3 linked regions of the Xenopus tropicalis genome follow. The protein of the gene in region 1 interacts with the protein of each later gene in a pairwise test. Links are inferred from orthologs where the notes say so. Each region holds a gene or a part of one and is shown in the gene's direction. Other genes may lie near its edges. The genes, in order: lnx2, tubb and srsf11.

The links.
Region 2: the proteins of lnx2 (region 1) and tubb interact in a two-hybrid assay, tested with the Homo sapiens proteins (3 studies listed by BioGRID and IntAct). The link is inferred for Xenopus tropicalis from reciprocal best matches to the Homo sapiens genes LNX2 and TUBB.
Region 3: the proteins of lnx2 (region 1) and srsf11 interact in a two-hybrid assay, tested with the Homo sapiens proteins (3 studies listed by BioGRID and IntAct). The link is inferred for Xenopus tropicalis from reciprocal best matches to the Homo sapiens genes LNX2 and SRSF11.

The regions. Positions count from the first base shown.
Region 1 is NC_030678.2:155,297,358-155,305,424, forward strand, and holds the start of lnx2 (ligand of Numb protein X 2), read left to right. Parts: upstream 1-3,679; 5' UTR 3,680-3,856; intron 3,857-8,067.
Region 2 is NC_030684.2:75,227,633-75,235,945, reverse strand, and holds the start of tubb (tubulin beta chain), read left to right. Parts: upstream 1-3,055; 5' UTR 3,056-3,110; coding exon 3,111-3,167; intron 3,168-6,251; coding exon 6,252-6,360; intron 6,361-6,556; coding exon 6,557-6,667; intron 6,668-7,180; coding exon 7,181-8,238; 3' UTR 8,239-8,313. UniProt on the Homo sapiens protein: Tubulin is the major constituent of microtubules, a cylinder consisting of laterally associated linear protofilaments composed of alpha- and beta-tubulin heterodimers.
Region 3 is NC_030680.2:82,767,804-82,775,412, reverse strand, and holds part of srsf11 (serine/arginine-rich splicing factor 11), read left to right. Parts: intron 1-4,288; coding exon 4,289-4,422; intron 4,423-7,609. UniProt on the Homo sapiens protein: May function in pre-mRNA splicing.

The DNA.
Region 1 (8,067 bases):
CTTTCCTAGCGCCCCCCCCGCCACAATGTTGCAGTGCCTCTTCTGCCCCTTCCGGCCCTGAGGGAGGAGGCTGAGTGGGTTAGAGGAGGAGAAGGAATCCTAAGCCTTACCATTGACCTTTGAACAGATTCAGTTTTTTTTGTGGGGGTTTGCATGTTGACATTTGCTCATCTTAATTACCCTAATGAAACACCCCGAAACATTTATGGTGCACTAGTGGTCATAACAAATAGGATAAGTTTATTTGCATGTGTGTTTTTTTTTTATTTTTCTGGGAAAAGGGACATTTTCCTTAACATCTAAAGAAATAAACAAGCACCACTGCACTACCTAGAGTAATGGTGGTTAGCTACATCCTTTAGTAACATGCTGATTCACTTAATCAACTGTGTGTCCCTGGCCTTGGCCTAAATTCTGTATTCACAGGGAATCCACAAGACAGTGCTGATGATAATGCAGGTAAATCTACATAGTTCTGGCTCTATAATACATGGGCATGGACACCCCTTAAGCTGGCCATACACGCACCGATAACATCGTACGAAACCTCGCAGATCTGTAAGTGTATGGCCAGTTTAACTGGGAGGGATTACCAGTCACATAATGGGAATAGTTACTGTGATTCCAAATATATTGAAGTAAAACAGATAAAAGTTATAATGCCTGTACACATGAGCATCAATCAATCATGCATTTATGATGCCTTTATATCAGTACATTACAGTGCATCACAGCACTGATTGTAGACAAATAGATCAAGCAGCATAGTGAGCTTAATTCTGAGATAATAAATTGCTAGACTCATAGTAAAGCACATTCACTGATATCTATGTTGACTGATAATCTTGAGAGAGGATTTACCATCACCTTTAAAGAAGAAGGAAAGTTAAAAACTAAGTAAGCTTTATCAGAAAGGTCTATGTAAATACAGCCATAAGACGTAATGCTGCACTGAGTCCTCTATCAAAAGAAACACGGGATTTCTTGTCTCTTTTTTTGTAAACATGATGTTCCAGTGTCTGATTCCTCTTTCAGAAACATTCTTAATTCCCGTGGCCAGAGTCTGTGCAGTTCTCTACTCTCTCCCTCTCCTGCTCCCCCTCCCACCAGAATGCTAAGAAATCTCTCCCCTCTTCCTTAGAAATGTGTGATCTCAGCTTTAACGGCTAGACTGCAGGAAGGAAGCTACTTAAAATGTCAGCTGCTATCTTAAGCAAATGGAGAAACCTTCTAAAGCTGTTTACTTAGGTATGTCAATGCTTTCTTCAGAATAAATATATTGTTCTAGGTGGCACTAATGTGGCAAATCTATTGGCAGTAAAATGCCAAAATGACTTTCCTTCTCTTTAAATGGGAACTGAAGCCAAAAAATTCTACCTGCGCATGTGCAAATGCATCAAATGATGTCACCAAATGCAACTTTTTACATGAGGGTAAAATATTTGTCACACTGCATGTTTAACAACTGAACTATATTAAGTTAATAATGTCATAAAAAGAAGTTTATCAACCCCGTTGGGAAGAGTGGAAGCCATAAAACTTATCTGCCACTTAAGCCTCCAGTTGGATTCTCTGAGAACAATTCCGCAGAAGAAAAGGCAAAAGAATAAATTGCAACATTTGAATTTGAATCTGCACTTAAATTATTCACTCTCCATTACATGAAGTCCTGCAAAAAGTGATTAAATATGAGTAGGCTTAACTGCATAAGAAACTTTGCAATTTCAACACTCATTTAAAAGATTATCTCAGCCTGCCATATATTGTGCTGCAAGGGGCCATGCTCATTATTGCCCACACAGAAACCTGATATTACACTTGGTAGCTATTGTGGTTCCATATATGGTTGCCACCTGGCTGGTATTTTACTGGCCTGGCTACAACATTTTCTGCTTGATGCCAATGTTATTTACAGGGAAAAAAGTAACAATATAGGAAGGCATTTTTTTCAGAAAAGGTAGAAACCCTAGTTGCATACTGAAATTGAAGTGCCATATACCTGAATGTGAGTATTGAAGTAAAACTTCCATTAACATACAGGGCAGTAATGTGGGTGTTATAGTTTAACAAGACCTGGTATGTAACTGATGACTCGTCACAGTGCTGCTTCTGTAGCTGCTAAATGTCAAGAATTCCAAGGGACAAGCCCTATTTTTTCTCATTCTGCTAAAACAGACAAACTGCAGAGAGGCATGTAATTGCGCTGAATGCAGCGATCACTGCATGATAAGATTCGTACCACATTATGGTGGGGTTCACTGAATCTAGGATTCAGGGTCGGACTGGGCTGTCGGGACACCGGAAAAATACCCAGGAGTCCCCAGCTGCCCAGACCCGACTCTATTGCCGCTTCCCCTGGCCGTCGATGTCTTCTCCTGACGCATTTCACATACGCATGTTCAGGGGAGGACATCGGGCAGGGGCCCCTGTGGGAGGTTAGGGGTGATTGGAGGGGGCCCCTGTGGGAGGTTAGGGGTGAGTGGAGGGGGCCCCTGTGGGAGGTTAGGGGTGAGTGGAGGGGGCCCCTGTGGGAGGTTAGGGGTGAGTGGAGGGGGCCCCTGTGGGAGGTTAGGGGTGAGTGGAGGGGGTCCCTGTGGGAGGTTAGGGGTGAGTGGAGGGGGCCCCTGTGGGAGGTTAGGGGTGAGTGGAGGGGGCCCCTGTGGGAGGTTAGGGGTGAGTGGAGGGGGCCCCTGTGGGAGGTTAGGGGTGAGTGGAGGGGGCCCCTGTGGGAGGTTAGGGGTGAGTGGAGGGTGCCCCGTGGGAGGTTAGGGGTGAGTGGAGGGGGCCCCTGTGGGAGGTTAGGGGTGAGTGGAAGGGGCCACTGTGGGAGGTTAGGGGCGAGTGGAGGGGGCCCCTGTGGGAGGTTAGGGGTGAGTGGAGGGGGCCACTGTGGGAGGTTAGGGGTGAGTGGAGGGGGCCCCTGTGGGAGGTTAGGGGTGAGTGGAGGGGGCCACTGTGGGAGACGCAGCTGGCGGAGGCACCTTGGGGGGTGCGGGGCCCTCTGGGGTGGTAGCCCCGGTGGTCCCTGAACCCCCTAGTCCAACCCTGCTAGTATACGGTTCTGGATTCGGCCATTTTCAGCAAGATTTGGATTCTGTGGAATTGAAGTGCCCGGTGGAACCTATTTCTCTTTGACCCTAGTTTCCATATGGAAATTAAGGTTCGGATTCAGTTCGAAATTTGGTCAAATCTTTCAGGAAGAATTCAGGATTCAGTTGAATCCCAAAATAGTGGATTGAGTGTGTCCCTAGATTAGGGTCAGTTGTATCAGGGGCCAAGTAACCCATCGTGTGGGAAACCCACCCATGTAAGGGGAGCTCATACAAACTCCGAGCAGGCAGTGCCCTGGCTGAAATGGTTAATACCCCAGCGATACCAGCTGCCAGGGTTAATGATTCCACCACCGGGATATAGAGAAGCATAGGGGAATGTTGCAGGTAGACTAACCCTACCTTGCATTTCCCAGTGGCTTACTCAAGGTTACGCAGACACACTAAATACCCAACTATAAGCGCAACCTGCCACCAGGCTATGGCAACAGCATGAAGAGGTTAAGGTCCTACTTCGGGCATAGGCGGAGGACGCTGTCAATTAAGCGCGGCCCTGCCATGTATAGCGGGATGGGCGGGTATAATGGTTTCCCCGGTAACCAGAGTCTGGGTTGCGCTGCAGCGGAGCTTTGGCAGGAGTATGTCAGTAGCAGCAGCACTAGGAGGAGGGAGGGAGGGGGAGTGAGCCGGCACCTCTCCCACTCAGGCATATTGGGAGATCAGGACAGTGCTGTGGCGCTCACACATGCGTGTCCTTTGATTGCACAGCGCCCGACCGCTGCAGGGGAAGAACATCCCACGCAGGGGTAAGATATAACTTTGCTGCTATTTTGGGGGTGGGAGGAGGGTTGGGGGGTTGGAGGGAGCATTGTTCTGGCTGAGGCGTGAGATTTGCGGGGGGTGTGCATTGTGTTCTCCCTGGCATTGGGCAGGGCTGGACACAACATTCCATGCACAATGGTCCTTAATGTCAGTAGCACATATAGATGACCTTTAACATAAAGGCTCTTTCAGGACTACAACTCCCATAATCCCCACCTAGGGGGGGGATGCTGGTAATTCTTCAACAACTAGACTGCAAAGAATGGCCACAGTTTCTTTGTATTGTCCCTTTGCTAATAACACTGTGCAGTGCCCATGATGTCCCCCATAAAATGAGTTCTCCCAACATTGATTGTACTAGGTTGCATGAACTTTCAGTGAGGGAGTCATTTGGTGTGTGTATGGGGGCATGGTGCCAACTGGGCATGCAGAACCATTCTGGAGTGGTCATTGTGGGCAGCAGAGGTTCTGGTCCTCAGCAAAGGAAAAGTTGTGTATTGTATTGGGAATAATGTTCTATACTTGAGACAGTCCCTTGGGCTATGTTGTTTATTTCCAGGGGAAATTAAATATTGCCTGAAGTAAATAGAAAATATTAAACATAAAATACATTTGGGTATATATATATGTATATAATACGTATGTATATATAACGGACATACTGATACTGAGATTTTCAAGTCAGTACAAATGCCCTGTGGCTGTTAGATCAGGTACCTCTTTGAATGGTGGATCATTTCTTGTGCCTTCCATGGAAAGACCTTTCATTAATACTATGGCTGGACTTGCAGCGAATAGAAATTGAATCACGCTTAGCTGAATGCTTTTGTTTTGGTGGGGGGCACGATACAGACAGACCTCTCTTTCCGGTACAGGTGGGTGCCCTGCATTACTGCCTGTGCCCCTGTCACTAACTCGCCCACTTCCCAGTTTGATTTCTTCAATGAGATCTGGCAGCTTTTACTGTCCATTGTGCATGGAATGTCAGTGATAAGCGATATGTTGCATTTAAAGACTTTCCTTTGTCTATGATGATCAGGGAAAGCCTAATGTAAACACTATGGTAACATCATGGTTAATTCATTGTTTATTCTCCATGTGCAAAACCCATTGCACGGATCCATTTTCTTCTGGTAGTAGATGTACTGTAAAGTGATACCTGGCAGCTGCTGATCTGTGGGAGCGTGTGAGTCCAGCCGGCATCGATTACTCTCTGAGATCAGGGCTTGGCTGCTAACAGACTGTATCATGCTTATGGAAACATTAACATTTATACTGGCAGATGCTCTCGGTGCTGCCCTGCCTCTCACTTTACTTATTGCTGGCATCATATACTCCTGCCTTGCCTCCCGAGTCTCCCTACCAATATAAATACAAAACTTTTGTTTATGAGAGATGGAACTTGTGCCAGGAGACCAAACAATGCTCTATGGATCCCGTGTTCTGCTTTGTTATGGGAGCAGGTTCATTCTGTAACCCAATGGCAGGGGCCACAGGGCTCAATAGTTTTGCTTCCCTTGTGTGAGTCACAGTTTGCGGATTGGGTTGCCAACCCTGCCTGTCTTCCCCCCTCCCATTCCGTAAACTGAGAGTGACCAAAGTCTGACACGCTAGGGCTGCCAGGGGATAAAGATCACTTATTGAGCAGAGGATTCACGGCGTGAACAAACTGGGCACCATATTTATCGTGTGTATGTTTGTGTGTGAGAACTTGGAAATCAGCAGCTCAGTGGGAAATCTGTCCCTGTTGCTCACCCCAAACTGGGGCAAATCGCTCAGATTCCTTCATTTTCTGCGAGAGATTTTTCCTTTCTTTCTGGCACTTTGATAAATTGATTTTGTGGAATACTATACAAGTCAGAGAGGTTTCTCTCGCTGGGGAAATAGATCACTGTTAAGTGACTCTCCTGCAGAGGGGCTGCAGAGCTGAAATGTCTCCCTTCCTTTTCCTATATTTATGTTTTAAAACACTTCCTGTACAATGTTTCCCATCATGCACATGGCTAGCAGAGAGTGATGTAGTCCAGCAACAGCAGAATTTGTGTGTCAGAATTTGTTGGAATAAGGCCAAAAATGTTGTGTGAAGCCTTGAGTAATGGGTGTCAGTCTCATAACATTCATGGGAAATTGGTGCCAGCAACAGTGAATATTAGAATCTAGAAAGGGACTGTGGCTGGGGGGTAGCAGGTATAGTAGGAAGAGATGGTGCCTATAGTAGCAGTGGGGGAATAATAGCCTCTGGGAAGGGACTGGGGCTGTGGCATAGCAGGTATAGTAGGGAGAGATGGTGCCTATAGTAGCAGTGGGGGGATAATAGCCTCTGGGAAGGGACTGTGGCTGTAGGATAGCAGGTATAGTAGGGAGAGATGGTGCCTATAGTAGCAGTGGGGGGATAATAGCCTCTGGGAAGGGACTATGGCAGTGGGATAGCAGGTATAGTAGGGAGAGATGGTGCCTATAGTAGCAGTGGGGGATAATAGCCTCTGGGAAGGTACTGGGGCTGTGGGATAGCAGGTATAGTAGGGAGAGACGGTGCCTATAGTAGCAGTGGGGGGATAATAGCCTTTGGGAAGGGACTGTGGCAGTGGGATAGCAGGTATAGTAGGGAGAGATGGTGCCTATAGTAGCAGTGGGGGGATAATAGCCTCTGGGAAGGGACTGTGGATGTGGGATAGCAGGTATAGTAGGGAGAGATGGTGCCTATAGTAGCAGTGGGGGGATAATAGCCTCTGGGAAGGGACTGTGGCTGTGGGATAGCAGGTATAGTAGGGAGAGATGGTGCCTAGAGTAGCAGTGGGATAAAAGCCTCTGGGAAGGGACTGTGGCTGTGGGATAGCAGGTATAGTAGGGAGAGATGGTGCCTATAGTAGCAGTGGGGGGATAATAGCCTCTGGGAAGGGACTGTAGCTGTGAGATAGCAGGTATAGTAGGGAGAGATGGTGCCTATAGTAGCAGTGGGGGGATAATAGCCTCTGGGAAGGGACTGTGGCTGTGGGATAGCAGGTATAGTAGGGAGAGATGGTGCCTAGAGTAGCAGTGGGATAAAAGCCTCTGGGAAGGGACTGTGGCTGTGGGATAGCAGGTATAGTAGGGAGAGATGGTGCCTATAGTAGCAGTGGGGGGATAATAGCCTCTGGGAAGGGACTGTGGATGTGGGATAGCAGGTATAGTAGGGAGAGATGGTGCCTAGAGTAGCAGTGGGGGGATAATAGCCTCTGGGAAGGGACTGTAGCTGTGAGATAGCAGGTATAGTAGGGAGAGATGGTGCCTATAGTAGCAGTGGGGGGATAATAGCCACTGGGAAGGGACTGGGGCTGTGGGATAGCAGGTATAGTAGGGAGAGATGGTGCCTATAGTAGCAGTGGGGGGATAATAGCCTCTGGGAAGGGACTGTGGCTGTGAGATAGCAGGTGTAGTAGGGAGAGATGGTGCCTATAGTAGCAGTGGGATAAAAGCCTCTGGGAAGGGACTGTGGCTGTGGGATAGCAGGTATAGTAGGGAGAGATGGTGCCTATAGTAGCAGTGGGGGGATAATAGCCTTTGGGAAAGGACTGTGGCTGTGGGATAGCAGGTATAGTAGGGAGAGATGGTGCCTATAGTAGCAGTGGGATAATAGCCTCTGGGAAGGGACTGTGGCTGTGGGATAGCAGGTATAGTAGGGAGAGATGGTGCCTATAGTAGCAGTGGGGGGATAATAACCTCTGGGAAGGGACTGGGGCTGTGGGATAGCAGGTATAGTAGGGAGAGATGGTGCCTATAGTAGCAGTGGGATAATAGCCTCTGGGAAGGGACTCGGGCTGTGGGATAGCAGGTATAGTAGGGAGAGATGGTGCCTATAGTAGCAGTGGGGGGATAATAGCCTCTGGGAAGGGACTGTGGATGTGGGATAGCAGGTATAGTAGGGAGAGATGGTGCCTATAGTAGCAGTGGGGGGATAATAGCCTCTGGGAAGGGACTGTAGCTGTTAGATAGCAGGTATAGTAGGGAGAGATGGTGCCTATAGTAGCAGTGGGGGGATAATAGCCTCTGGGAAGGGACTGTGGCTGTGGGATAGCAAGTATAGTAGGGAGAGATGGTGCCTATAGTAGCAGTGGGGGGATAATAGCCTCTGGGAAGGGACTGTGGATGTGGGATAGCAGGTATAGTAGGGAGAGATGGTGCCTATAGTAGCAGTGGGGGGATAATAGCCCCTGGG
Region 2 (8,313 bases), on another chromosome or scaffold:
GTTAGAACTGTTCGGGACAGTGCACATGCTCAGTGGGCTCCGAGCAGCCGTTGAGAAGCTGAGCTTAGGGGTCGTTGCAAATTATCAAGCAGAAAATGAGATATGTCTGTCATATAAGCCGAGTTAATTATTTAGTTCTGATGCAGTTGCCCTGGTTTCAGATCTGTTATTTAATGTGACTTTAAATGAATTACTAATCAGCCTTTTACCGTTACATTTATATTCTATTACTGCAGTATATTTTGAGTTGGCCCCTAAGCTCAGTAACTGACAGCAGCACAGAGCATGTACATTGAATCAGATGGGAAGTTACTGGGGCATTTTTGGATGCACAGATCCTCCCTGCTAAAGGGCTGTAGTTGCCTGGGCATGGTACAAACGCCCAAAACATAATGTATAATATTTCTGCCCTACTTCTTTAGTTAGGCTTTATTCTCCTTTAAATGGAGGTCACAATGGAGGTCATTGTTTTTGTTACTTTTTATTACTTATCGTTCTATTCAGGCCATTCCTATTCGTGTTGTAGTCTCTCATTCAAACTACTGCCTGGCTGCTAGGATTATTTGGTTCCAAGCAACCAGACAGTAGCTGAAACTGGAGAGCTGCTGAAAAAAAACCCTAAAAAATTCAAAAACCACAAATAATAAATGAAGACCACTTGCAAATTGTCTCAGAATAGCATTGTTCATCATGCTAAAAGTTAATTTATAGGTAAACTACCTCTTTAAATGAATAGGTCTCTAATGCAAATGGGATGTTCACATTTTGCAAAGCCTTACCAGAGTCATAGGACTTTGCAAAATAAGATCTTTACTCATTATAATGAATTAAAAATAGGCATCCTTTATTCAGTAAAACAAGTCGCTTACCCATTTAGGGATAAGCAAAGATGCAGAGATCAGCAGCGGTAAGAGAGAGAGGGTAAAGCAGTCTCCTAGAGCGGCATTAAGAGCTACTGTACATGGGCGTTTTCTTATCTTTTCTCTGCATTGCGACCTAGTTGCCTGATGCAGCCAAGCTCTTACCCTAGATGTCGACTGGGAAATTTCCCTGCTAACGGTCTCTGCATGTAGGTGGGTGAGGGGGTCCATGACCCCCTCCTACTGAGGGGTAGCCATCTAAGAGGACATAGTAAGAGAGAATTTTTACCAACTAAATAATAAAAAGTAAGCATTAAAAAAAAAAAAAAAAAAAAAAGATTGTAATGGGTAAAGTTCTTCTTTTGTAAAGTCTTACCACTCTGGTAAAGCTTTGGAAAGGTGCACATCCGCTTTACCAAAAAAAAAACCTTTTACCTGCAACTTATTTGTTTTCAAGTTTAAAACACCAAAATGGTTGCCCTTTTATTGGCTCCATTGGGATCACCTGATTGTAGCTGGGAAGGGTGGGGGCTACAATAAAAGCAGCAACCATTTTGGCATTTTTTTTTTTTTAACCTTGAAAGCAAGTAAGGTGCAGGTAAAACTCAATTTGTTAAATGTTTATTAAAGCAGTAGAATCCTTAATGAATCAGAAAAGTCAGTGTAGGACTGGTCAGACTGGGGATGGCTTTCATATAGTTGGGTAGCTTGAAGTATATTGCAATATATGGATAATCCCTGTTTTGCTTAAAGGAGGAGGGCATTTCTTGTTAACTTGATGCACAGAATGTCTTAATGTCCTTCATATGGCTGATGTCAGACGTGGCGTTTTCTCGGCAAGCCGAAAAACGCTCCAGTGCAGGCACATGTAGCTGAAATACACGTTTTTATGTGTATACCCGAGCGTATCTTATTCATGCCATGTCATCAGCCTAAATCTATAATGGGTGAGTGCAGAGCACCTCTCTTGTTGCCTATATGTATTTTGTGGTCACAACCTAATTGCTCCCTGCCTAATGGCTTAAAATTTAGTGGTTGAGCACAACTTTCCCTTTCTTGGTATCAAATGCCCGCACTATTTTTTCAAAACTCCCCTTGCAAGCATTATGCCCCCCACACTGTGAGGGATGGTCATGACTGGACATGTCTGCACATAATGTCCCCTTATCCTACATCACATGCATATCCATACTGATAAAGCTGGAGCACTTGCTTGTTATGTGCATGTGTGCCCCAACTTAGCTTCCTAGCTAAGGGGGGGCATAACATTCATAATGGGGGTTTTCTTAAGGAAATATTGTTTCCCCCAAGCAGTTCTTTGTTAGCTGATACCTACTGTAGGGGAGACAATATTAATGGAGATAGGTTGCCTTTAGTCTCCCTGGTTACATTTTTTCATACCTTGTGTTTCACATATCCCTGCAGGGCTTTTATTTCCTACTGTATTGGTTTGCCTGTATCTGTATGTTGATTATTATGAATGTAAAGTTAAATATGTTGCTGCTTTATAAATGGAACTCAATAATAATTAATTGGATTTACAGCCAATGATATCCTCAGAACCACGAGAACCGAACTACACCGTGTATGCCAACAGCTGCAAATCCAGTGATACTTTATTGCTATATCCACAAGGAACTTGCTCTTTGTTAGGGTGCATATTGTGTAGCACCTTCCCTGATATGGTACATAGGCATGAGAAATTGTAATACAATGTTGCTGTGAAATACAAAGACACAGCAGTAAGAATTGCAGGCTCCGGCAGCTGCCCGCCCTACCTACCAAGCCCAATACTGCGGTATCTCAAGGAGGCTGCCCCTGTCTTTGTATATAGGCTGTACCAATTCTGAGTGATTGCTTGTTCGTTTGGGTTCGGTATCAGACAGCACTGCTAGGTTTATAAGCCTCTGAAATAAAATTAACCTACTCATTCTAAGCCTGAAATATATGCTTAACCATCACTAAATGTGCAATTATGGCAAATGTCCTTAGCAGCCTTTGTACATGTAATAACCAATATCACGACAGCTACAAGCCCTGCTATCCACCGCACTACAGCTACTGCTCAGAAATGCCACTCCCAGCCCCCGATGTGCCCCTTTCTGCCCCTCCCCTTCCCAACAGAGCCCGCCCTCTTCCTCTACTAACCGGCTACCTCCCTTATTGCTCTCGCCATTGTCTCGGACGTTCCACACCAGAACGTCGCTGTCTCCAACGTTCCATCCTCCGAACATCTATTACGCCTGAATCATGAGGGAGATTGTACACATCCAGGCCGGCCAGTGTGGCAACCAGATCGGCGCTAAGGTGAGATCAGGGTTCGCCTACTCTCCAGTGATATGAAAATTCCTCTACCCTACACCCCGAAATATTGACATTATTACATCCACATAACGACAATATAAATTATGCCATGACAGCCTTTAAGTCAGTGGGCAATGTCAGTTCGCAGTCGTGCTGTGTAGCGGCTAGTATCAGATTATAGTCCCCGCCTTTTGTCAGATGTCTAAATTGGCGGGGACTCGTGAAAGCGTTACTAATTCGCTCCTTTATAATGACCAGGAGCCTACCTGTAATACAGTAGATATTATGTCATTTTAGTGAAAATTGTTAATTGAAAACAAAACGATCCGATGTTAAATATAATCGTGCAGCTGCTGCGCCTGACAGGGTAGGTAGGCGATAGGCTATATCACATATAAACCTCCACGCCCTGCTGCAAATGCGCCTCTGTGCTGAATAATGATGTGGCCAGGGCTCCGGCTTTTAGTGCAACACGTGATTACACGACTCTCCCCTAGGGATTTAGCATGAGGGCAGCTCCACTTGGCATGGGGGTGGCAATTACCTGTATGCCATGCTAAATCCCTATGCCCTGATTTGTTCATGAAAGATGCAGTGCATTATGGCGCTGGATGTGTAGTCTTTCCGTCTCAGGGGAAGGGGCTGTGTCTCTTGTTCCAGTGCGGCAAAATATCCAACAGTAAGTGCCTTCCCTCCAAATGAAATACATGTAGTGATAGCAATAATACAAACGCGGTATATTACCGAAGACGAGCGATTTCATTAACACGTGGGCGCGCTTTAGTCGTAAAATAAAGTGGCATATCCAGGAAAATATTTAATTGTACGGTAGCAGGCAGGAAAGACTGCATAGCACATCGTCGTGTAGAACTGCCATTTTGCACACACGGCGTATAATAATGAATAACGTGGCTAGTGTGGTACTGGGATGAGGGGCTATGGCGGGAGAGGGAGTGGCCAGGGCAGCCGCTCAATCATACACGTATCATATCCGCTATATTCGTTCTGTATCTATACACATATACGTGGGTAGGATTACATTTTTCTATATATGTGTATAGGTAAAAATGATACAGTTTAAACTCCATTTCCGTTACTTAATCCCGTTATATGCATGAACGACCCATTGTCAGGGCGGGGCAGAAAATATTTTACTTGCGATAAATGCAGCCTTTATGCTCTGTTATAAAGGGAAGTGCTAAATATCCATCCGCAACAGACAGAGGCCTTTTTGACGATTTTTTTGGTGATAAAAAAATGTTTTTTTAAATTCAATTTTATTTGGTGGCAAAATCTAAGCCACATAACATCATGTGACATTAGAGGGCTATTAATTGGGATTTGCTACATTTGTTCTGTAAGCTTTGCGTTACATGGCGCCTGCTCTTTTTTCCCCGACCACCCCTCCCTTTCGCAACCCCGGCCTTTGTTCTTTGTCCCGTTGTGCTTGAATACATCAAAATGGAGGGCAGCAGCCCCAAAACGCACTAATTATATTCTCGTCTCGGGTTAATCGATACACAGAAACAGTGGGCGAATGGGCTGTGGCAGCTTTGTGCCCCATTTGGGTCCCCCCCACCTCCCCATGGAAAGCTCCCAGTGCGGTGACGTATGTGCATCTGCAGTGCAGCAGTGCTGCCTAGTAATGCTATTAGAGCAGGGATTATAGGGTGGGTGTGCTTCCTGCATAAAGAACGGCTTGTCTATTGCCTTTCTATATAATTCCAAGGTCTGTACTGTGGTGTTGAAAATAATTTCTTTCTTAAAGGGCTTTAACGGGGGAGCAACCCCCACTATTGTGTATGACGTTTTAAGGGAAGAGATGCATAAATGCACATTTAAACAAAAATAAGGTATAGCAAGGTAAATATAGATGCTTTACTTCATGGTTATCTGAAATTATATAGTATTGACAACAGGAGATATGTACTGTGTGAAACATTTATTGCTAGTTAAAGGAAGAATTTAGAATCTCTTGGAGTGAAGGATATAGCAGATTTCTAACAGGATGCCAATATGGCTGATATAACGGATGTGTGATCCATATTGTAAGGGTGTCCCAGTCTATTCCTGGCATTCAGGCGCAGCTGCAATGCCACACCCTAGGCTTTAGCGCTTCCTTGCCAAATGACCCGATATGCTTTACCCTGTGCAAAATAGACCCACTGAGATATATCATTATCCTGGCTTGTTACTGGGAATGATAATTATAGTATGTTTAATATACATATGTGTCTCCACTTGAATCTGCAGAACATTTATATTTCTATTAGTTTTATGGAGACCTGCCCATTTGTCAGCATTACATATTCTGTATATCTACTAAACAAATATCCAGTATTTTTGTGCATACGGGTGCACATGACATATTTCTAAATAGTATGTCACTGCCTGTCATGCTTTATAATGAATATCCTTTGTGTCACATTCCTGTCTCGCCTACACTAGGCTTGTGTGGCTGTCTTGTTCTCTGACTTCCTGTCAGTGTGGGGGAGGGAAGAGCAAACCCATTGAGTTGGAAATGGTAGAAAAGGATTGGACTGCAGGGAGTTAAATACTTAGCAGAACAGTAATGCAGGGAGGAGTATGAATTACAAATGAAAAGGCAGAGAGAGAAAATGAATGCGTAATAGTTTGTGGTTTTTAAAAGGCAGGGAAATAGATTCCTGAAATAGGTAGAGATAAAGTAGTCCTATTATATATATATATATATATATATATATATATATATATATATATATATATATATATATATATATATATATATATAAAAATAGAACTCCATATTGGATGGAGGCATAGACATCACATGGATTCACAGAGTGTGTTGTTTTTGCAAAACAGATGCAGAAATGTAGGAAGGAGGAAAAAAAGATAAGGGGGAATCGGAGAAAAAAATTGTATTGTGTAAGATCTGAAGGGGATGTGGTTACCATTTCCCTTTTCATTTTAGTTCTGTAAAGCAGCAACATCCAGCTGCCTTTGGCCTTTTTAATTATCCAAACTAATGTAACACGATTTGCATCAAACCTTTGGTTGGCAGCTTTCCGTATATTAACAAAGTGTATTTGTAAATTTTATTCTCAGTTTTGGGAGGTGATCAGTGACGAACATGGTATTGACCCCACTGGCACCTATCATGGAGACAGTGATCTGCAGCTTGACAGAATCAGCGTCTATTACAATGAGGCCACAGGTGAGAAGCGTTTGTATAAATGCATGTTTATGTCTGTGGGTGTAGGTAAAATGTGTTCAAAGCAACAAAAAAGTACCACTCTCAACAGGCTTAGTTGGAGAAACTGATTTTAATAAACAAAAGGAATTTTTTTTCTTGAGTCTCCTTTTGTGCCAGCTCCTTGTTACTTCCACTGACACACAGATTTTCTTCTTAGGTGGTAAATATGTCCCTCGAGCCATCCTTGTTGATCTGGAACCAGGAACTATGGACTCTGTGCGCTCAGGACCCTTTGGACAGATATTCAGGCCTGACAACTTTGTCTTTGGTAAGGCATATTTTTATATTTTTTTTTTTTGCCCGTTTTTTCTTTTCATGGTTTTTCAAGGTTTTTATTTGTTTTTATTATGTGTTTGGTTTGAAGGTGGATTTATACCAAATATAGTCCCTATCCTTGTTTAACTGAAGTGTCCTGCTTCTGTTCTGTTGGATAGCTTTGCTACATATCACATTGCAAATAAATTAAAAGTTGTTTGTTTTAAGAGGTTAACATGTTAAATGTACCCACACTCATCATTCCGTGGGACATATTTATTAAAGGCTTATATAGAGCTGAATCTAGTCCACCAGAGGGAAACTTCACAGGTCTATTTTAATAGAATCATTAGAGTAGTTATTAGAGGGAATTTAGTCACCTGTTAGAAGGGAAAAAAAATTGCATCACTAAACTGTACAGCTTAGATCATCTACTTGCTTGTGTTCCTTTGCTACATTTTGTTTTTCAGTACAAATTCACTCACCCTTGTCCGTTTTTATTAATTTATTTATTTTTTTTTCTCAGGTCAAAGTGGTGCTGGCAACAACTGGGCAAAAGGCCATTACACAGAAGGTGCTGAATTGGTAGACTCTGTACTGGATGTTGTGAGAAAAGAGGCAGAGAGCTGTGACTGCCTACAGGGCTTCCAGCTCACTCACTCTCTGGGTGGTGGAACAGGGTCTGGTATGGGCACTCTCTTGATTAGTAAGATCCGAGAAGAATACCCTGACCGCATCATGAATACCTTTAGTGTTGTCCCATCTCCAAAGGTGTCTGATACAGTGGTAGAACCATACAATGCAACTCTTTCTGTTCATCAGCTAGTTGAAAACACAGATGAAACCTACTGTATTGATAATGAAGCACTCTATGACATCTGCTTCCGTACCCTCAAGCTTACTACACCAACATATGGAGACCTTAATCATCTTGTTAGTGCTACAATGAGTGGAGTCACTACCTGCCTCCGTTTCCCTGGCCAGTTAAATGCTGATCTTCGCAAATTGGCTGTCAACATGGTGCCCTTCCCACGTCTACACTTTTTCATGCCTGGGTTTGCGCCCCTAACCAGCAGAGGCAGTCAGCAGTACCGTGCACTGACAGTGCCTGAGCTCACACAGCAGGTGTTTGATGCCAAAAACATGATGGCAGCCTGTGACCCACGCCACGGCAGGTACCTTACAGTGGCAGCTGTATTCCGTGGACGTATGTCCATGAAAGAAGTTGATGAGCAGATGCTTAATGTCCAGAACAAGAACAGCAGCTACTTCGTTGAATGGATTCCCAACAATGTCAAGACAGCTGTATGCGACATACCACCCCGTGGCCTTAAGATGGCAGTCACCTTCATTGGTAACAGCACTGCCATTCAGGAGCTGTTCAAACGCATCTCAGAGCAGTTTACAGCCATGTTCCGTCGCAAGGCCTTCTTGCATTGGTACACAGGAGAAGGGATGGATGAGATGGAGTTCACAGAAGCGGAGAGCAACATGAATGATCTGGTCTCTGAGTACCAGCAGTATCAAGATGCTACTGCTGAAGAAGAGGAAGATTTCAATGAAGAGGCTGAAGAAGAAGCTTAGACTCTTCTCACTGTTGCTGAAATTCCTTTCACGTTTCCTCCTCCATTCTCAGGCTGAGAAAGATCTGTACCGAAG
Region 3 (7,609 bases), on another chromosome or scaffold:
CTGCCCTAACTGAAATGCAGGGCACACATCAAATAGCAATAATGTATGGCGGTTCGATTTCTTGTTCTGTATTCAAAAAAAGGATGTTTTCAGTATATATTCTCCTGGCACCACAGAACTAACGCATTGATGTAGGTTTTAGGCTGCCTGGTAGTGTTGTGCAACTTTACCTCTCTCTAATGATAAAGCTGCCATATCCAGCAGTGTATTATAAACAGTGCTAATAATTTATTTAGTGTTTTTCAATATCAGAACAAACCAGACAAAACAAATGAGTTGTACGATAGATACCCTGTTCTAAAAGGCTTTTCGTTTAGTTCATTAGTTTGAGCCGGGCTATTTGTCCACTCACTATATCTGACTCTGTAAACATGTGAGCAAGCTCTATAATTGTTTGTAGGAAAGGCACACTACTGTAAAACAGGGTTATGTTGTGGACATCTAATGTTGTTTTATTTATTTATTTTTTTATCTAGCTTATTGGCTGGTGGCCATGTAATTTCTGGAAGCTGTTTGGGAATTCTGATTCAGAAATTGCTGAAATTTGTTTGAATATCACTGGTTAAGAATAGAATACTTGGTTTAGAGTACTTGTGTAAATATAGTTCTGAACAAACACCAGTGCACATATATACACACACATACAGACCTAACAATACACTAACATATATAAACTATACATATCATTACCTCTACTAACTGTAGGTCTTAAGATGACAATAACCTTGGATATTATACAAGAGATCATCCAAACTATTCTTAAAGCACTAACATCACCCAGAACAGCATTTAACAATCTTTTTAATTTCCATAAAGAGCCACCAACACTTCTTCAAATGAAAGTTCTGCTCTAGTCAAAGGGCTGGCCTCTGTTGCATTGATCTTGTGGTGGGGGAAAAAACATCCCCCATTATCTGTCTAAAATGTCCTCCCATGTGCTTGTAGTTTATAGTTTGCTTTCAGATTTGTAAGTGTTGCATCATTGATTCTCTAACATTGCATATCACTAGATGTCACTATTTCCTTTTCTACAGAAACAAAATGTGTCTCTGCATACAAAGAAAGATTATACAGTTGATTTGAGTAAAATTTAACAGGGAGCTTTATAGTGTTTCCTGACAAATGTAGCAATGTGTAACAATTCGTTCTTTCTTGCAATGTGAATGAGAAAATAGCTGATTAGTGGATCAGTGGGCCTTGCATAGATATTGACAAGGCAGTTAAGGTGGCCTTACACGGGCCAATTCTAGCTGCCGATATCTGTCCCTTAGACTGATTCGGCAGCTTATTGGCCCGTGCATGGGCACTAAAGATGGGGGAGCCCGATCGATATCTGGCCCCAAATCAGCAAGATCTCGATCAGGCAGGTTTGAAAATCAGTCGGATCGGGGCTGCATCGGCTCTTATACTTATCGGATTTTGACGCTTAAATGCAGACTTTTGAGTTTCCACGCCAAAATCTACTCAGTGTAGCTCCAGGATGGTTCAACAGTGTAATTGAAACCCTGAAGCTATGGAAATACTTCAGTGGATTGGCACATTTTAGGAAACAAAATACTTGAAATCTTGCCATATGCATAATGACAGGTGGATTGAATACCTGTCACCGCACATGTAATCCGCGGGTAGGTGCCCGAATCAAGAAATTAGAAGGTCAGAAGACAATTGAACACTTCATTTTACTCAGTGCAAAATAATACATGTTCAGGTGATATTTTAAAATATAGCACATTCCAGGTTCCCATCCTCCCTGGATAAACCCTTAAAAATAAAACCATATAAGTATGGTTTATATTCTGAGCTGTACTTGGTTTTTGAGTATGATGCCATGTATCATTTGGGTGATGTTTTAGGTTTTAAGGAGGCTATGCATTGGACAGTACTCTCCGGTATCCAAATGATTGGTCCATGGGTTGAATGCTATTCTTATGTTCATTTGAATTTATAACCATTCACCAACAGGTCAGATCATCTGTGATCCAGTAAGCATATATGTCCAGATGGTCTTGCAAAGTGATCACAGTGAGCCAAGCTGGGTCATGTACTGCCAGCTGTAGATGCAGTGACACCGTTAACATGCTCAGTGCAGTCATGGTAGAAAATATTACTGCATTGCTTATATAAATTGTTTTTTTTTCCTATAGGATTTTTGACATATTTAAACAGATTCATTATTTTGAAGTACTTGATAGCTGATATTTATATTCTAGATGAATAGTCACAGGACTACTAAACCTGTTAATTTTTGCTACATGGTATGCTTACTGCATAGCTGGCTCTCTACTCCACTGATATACCAGCTCTATGCAAGCAGATTCCGAATCTTCTGACCTGGAAGTTACAGATTCCAGTAGGTAATTCTACTTTCTACATCTGGTTCAAGACCAGCCTTTTCAGGATTCTAGCATTTACAAAGCCAGTGATAAATTTGGAGGGTTGTTTCTTTGTGCAGACCTTGTGTAACAGCAATGTGTATAGCATATGTTTGCTATAGCTGCACTATGTAGAAATGATTTAACAAGCATTAAGAACTTTTAAAAATGTATTTTTTTCTCACTTAGCTTTTCTAATTATGATAGTTACTAAATATTGGGTAAACTTTAAGCAGTTCTGTTATTGTAAATGAACCCTCACTCATTTTTGTGCTACATTCTTCCCTGTCTGATGTGGTAGATTGCACAGGCTATGAACCTGCACAAGTACTGGCACAGCTGGAAAAAAAAAACAAATGGCACAATGGAAGCGGGACTTTATATTTCTGGCAATGGCACTCTGGGTGCTGTACATGGTATCACATATGCCATGCTCTGTGATGGAGGTAGAAATGTTGGGCAAAATAAATACCTTGCCCCCTTATTTAATTGAAAATCGTTTTGGTCTGCGCTTTTAACTTGATCACTTATGGGTTTATTAACATGTTGGTGTAAAAAAAAAAAAAATTGCCCATTTCTAAATGTTTGTGTGTGCGTTGCTATAAAAATCCGCTTAATTGTATTGTTCATAATACAGTGTACAATTATTATTTTTACCATATGGAATTTAAGTGTAAAGAAAGCTCTTTTTTTCCCTCTATGGGGTTTTAAGAGAAATATTTTAAAGTGAATTTTTGCCATTGTTTAGAAGGTAATTCTACATCTCATCTTATAATTATATATTTTAAAATAGGCCCCTTAATATCCTATTGTTTCCAAACAGGAAGGGAAGTACACAAAAAAATTATCTGCGAACATAGCTTGCTCAGTGTAGTGGTTCTGTCCAATTTCCTGCTTTTTTGTTTCCTCAGCTTTTCTTTTAAAGGCCATTGCAGTCCGAATGTTAAGTCTTCTATGTTAAATCTTCTTCAGCACGTGCAACAAAACATTTCCTATCTATCAAGATCAGTCCGAATCTCTACTGGTACATCGTTTGAATTGCATGAATTCACAAAATTCCAGATGTTTGGCTTGCAGAAATTCAGACTGATCTTAATCATAAAGGTGATTTCTAAAGTTTTGTCTTCTATACTGCAGGAGATCATGTGCCATTACCATAAAGAGTAGCAGCAACAAAGTTGTTGTAGATTGTGCCAAATTGTGAACAAGTGGAAACCATCTTTTGCATGGTTTACCTCCCCAGTTGTAGCCAAACAACATTTTTTGGCCAGCACTGTCGGGTATGCCATACAAATAGCATTTGACACTGTTTACAGTTCTGCAGCATTGGTGCTTGAGTTTTGTGCCTGCTGTTGTGTTTTTTTGTTTTTTTAATACAAATGTAAACTTCATCTCTTTGAGATAAGAAACTTTCTGTTAAAACTTCCATATAGTTTTTAAAAAAAAAAAGAATGTAAAACTTCACTATACCTCTCTTAACAATGGCCTTTGGTGCTCAGCCTTTGTGTGATTCTTTCTGAAAGACAGTTGAAATACAACATTTAGTTAAAGGGCACACAGACCAATGATTTATTAGAGCTTACTGTCCATCAAAAACTATCACGAACAGCCTGCATGAAGAAAAAAAACAGTTACTGATAGGTTGGTGAAGAGTAACTTCATTATTTTATAAATTGTCATTGGTTGTCTTTTTTTTTTTTTTGTAGCTACAGTTTAATTCCAATAGCACGGTTATCATGAAAGTATTTACTAACAGAATCATGAACTGTAGAAATGTATCACTTCTGTAAAATCTCAAACTGGGTAGCCTGGTATGGATATGTGTTTCTGTTGGTATGCATGTGCATCCTCCATCCATCCAATTCATTTTAATTATAAACTGATGTTTTACCTGATTCTTTCCTTTCCTTTTGTAGTGATTCTCCTTTGCCTGTAACATCTCGTGTCTGTTTTGTAAAGTTCCAAGATCCAGACTCAGCAGTGGTTGCACAGCATCTGACTAATACAGTGTTCGTTGACAGAGCCTTGATAGTCGTTCCATATGCAGAAGGTTTGTACCTGCTTAAGTTAACTATATCACTGCTGGGAAGGGGGATTTTATTGGTCCATACTTTAAGTGAGCACAGTCTGCATGCTACTGTTTTTTATTTTTTTTCTTTTTTTTTCTTTTGTATGGAATATCCCTGGTATACTGAGCATTCCCTGTTGCAAACACACTAAAGCTTTGATTACCTTTAGGGCTTATCTTAATTTATGCTGGACCATTGGCATGTTTTTTTACTTATGTATTCTATACAATGCTATATAATATCCAGACATTGTAAATTTTCAATATTTCTGCCATGGTGTTCTTTTTCCAGTGCAGCAGCTTGTCCCAATCCATTTCCATTGTATTTGTGGGAGAACTTTGGTAACCCTAATAAAGACCTTGAATGATATTCTGGTAATGCTAAGTCTACCATGGATTGATTGTGGTCTGTCAAAAAACTTTCAGAAGGGTCTGGATGGGAGCTGGGCATTTAAGTTTTTTCTTTCCCTCTCACATTTGTATCCTTCTGTACCTCAAAATACTTGCTAAATAATGAAATCTTCTCTCTGTTATTTGTGTGTGTGATTTTTGTAGTGGAGAAGGCATTTGCAAAGCCCTTCCTGATGACAGAAAAACTGGGTCCTCTGCTGCTTCAGGGGATTCTAGACATTAACTAGACGGCAGCAAGCTCTCGCATCCCCAAGTGTTATTCGTGGTGTAACTACTTATTAACAATATTTTCTTTCCTTAGATATAAGTGTATGACTCTCTTACTCCAGCATAGGCCTTTGCTTGGTTGCATTGGAAAAACTGCATCCTTGAGTGTAGTCCTTTGTAATGTTACAGTTGGATAACTGTATTTGATAAATTAGGTACTTGTGCTCTTATTGTAACAATCCTTACATTAAATCCCTGTGCTTGAAAATGATTCAAGCCCTTTAAAATGTCCTATAGCCATTGTTAGAATGGCAAAATCTCTTAATTAATCTGAAGGCATTTTTAGACATTTACATACACTGTATGCCCACAATTTTTATCCTGAAATCCTAATGTACAGTTTGTGCACTACACTGTATGTTACCTTTTCCCTTGTGTTACGGGAATATTTAGAGACCATATGCCTGTTGCATATCTTTACCTAGCTTCTATAAACGATAGTAAACATTGAATCTATATGGCTATTTCTGCCATTAAAGTTATGTCAGTGTTATCTCCTGTCATTTTTTATTGCATAGTAAGGTATGTGGTGTTTGGTGACTGAGTACACTGCCGACGTTAAAAATTGCAGAGATCAGGCAAAGGTAGACAACTAAAACAATGCACGCCACCTTACAGCTTTCTAACAAAAGTGAACATGACACTGCCCAATCAGGGAATTTGAGTAAGCCACAATTAAGTAAGAAATCTTGTCCTGTTTTTTCAAAACCAATATAGTCCTTTATTTTCTGTGTAAAACTTGCTTTTAATGCAAGGATTATAGAAAGAATGATTCTTTTTCATAAAAGGTTCATCTTCTATTCAGTACTTCATTCTTGTAAGTAATCTTATAAAAAAAAAAAAAGTCAGACGTGTTTGCCATGTATAAAGTTACTATGTGCTATTAGGTTGCACTTCTCTTCTTAAACATTTTCTAAAATGAGACTGAAAGCCCACATTCAGTACATGAATGATTAGAAACTGCAGAACAATCATGGTTGAATGAACACTAAAAATATTGTGGTATAAATAGTTCTAAACTGGCATGTTCTTCGTGATCCATCCACCTCTACAACTGTACCAAATATGTTTGTAAGGCTGTTCACCTCAGTAACTGTGGCACAGTGAGTTTTAACAAAGTTTCTATAAAATAGCAATTTTTGTTTAAAAAGGCAGTTTGATAATTAAGAACTTAGACTTTTAAAGGACTTGCAACACCAAACATGAAAGGGGTTTTTGTGCATTTAAATAAAATGTTACCTTTTACTGGCATGTTTCAGAGGCTTAGGGGCAGATTTAGTAATCCACGAACGGTCCGAATGCGTTTTTTCGTAATGATCGGTATTTTTGTGACTTTTTCGTATATTTTCCGCGACTTTTTCGTCGCCGTTGCGAAAAAATTGGATTGGTTTTTCCTCCGTTTACAATCACTCAATACGAAATAGTTTACAATCACTCAATACGAAATAGTTGAGCAAATTACGATAAAGTCGTGACGACGACGAAAAGACGGCAAAATTTTCGTTTCCAATCCGAATTTTTCCCTTTCAGGATTCGTGGATTAGTAAATCTCCCCCATAGAATTTATATAAATAGGCTCTTGTGTAGCCATAGGGGCAGTCATTTGTGCAGTAGAGCAAATGGTTCCAAACAAATAACAGATGAACTCTTTATAATACCATGATTTTTTATTTAACCAGCAGATAAACTGGTCAAATGTCTGAAAACATTTCTCATATAAAATAGGACACTTTCAAGAAATTTGAAGCTTTTCGTAACTACTGACTGGCCAGATTCAAATGTTATATTTAAAATAAAAATTCTCTATGGTCTTTTAAAATATTTTTTCCATTGAGCGAAGAATATATTATATTAGTTTTTTTTGAGGCTGTTGGAAAAGTTTTTCCAAAGCCAGTTTTACCCTTTTATTAAGGGCATATGCTGTACAGAGTAATATCTTTCTAATGCTGTATTTGCACATGCAATACAGTGCTTGCACTTATCAGTTAATTATTAGGAACATGGAGGAAATTAAATAGTATTTTACCTATTTTATGTTTATTTCATACTGCTAACATATTTAATCCACAAAATGTGGTAGTTTGCTGTGACATTTTTATTTTCTTTGCCAGAGGGCCTGTATCTACTGTACAGAGGTTAAGTATGGTATAGATTTAGATAACAGAATGTATGCTTTTTCTAAGTAGCTCCAATAATTAAGCAATAATAACATTCCTTAGTGTGTGTGTGTGTATACATAGTTTAAATGAGAGCTACATATCTTCAGGGGATAATGTAATACCAAAATAAAATGCCCTAATATTAGTTGTGACTAGAGTTTGATAATTGATCTATATTATATTTATCCCTGTATGGTGATAAACAAGCAGTTTAGTGAGTTGCCAATATTTATTAAACATTTCTACTGAAAGAGCATTTTGATAAATGCAGTGGTACAGTGTATGGGGGACCAAGAATTTTACAAACTGTGCAGTGGCCTCAACTCTGCAGC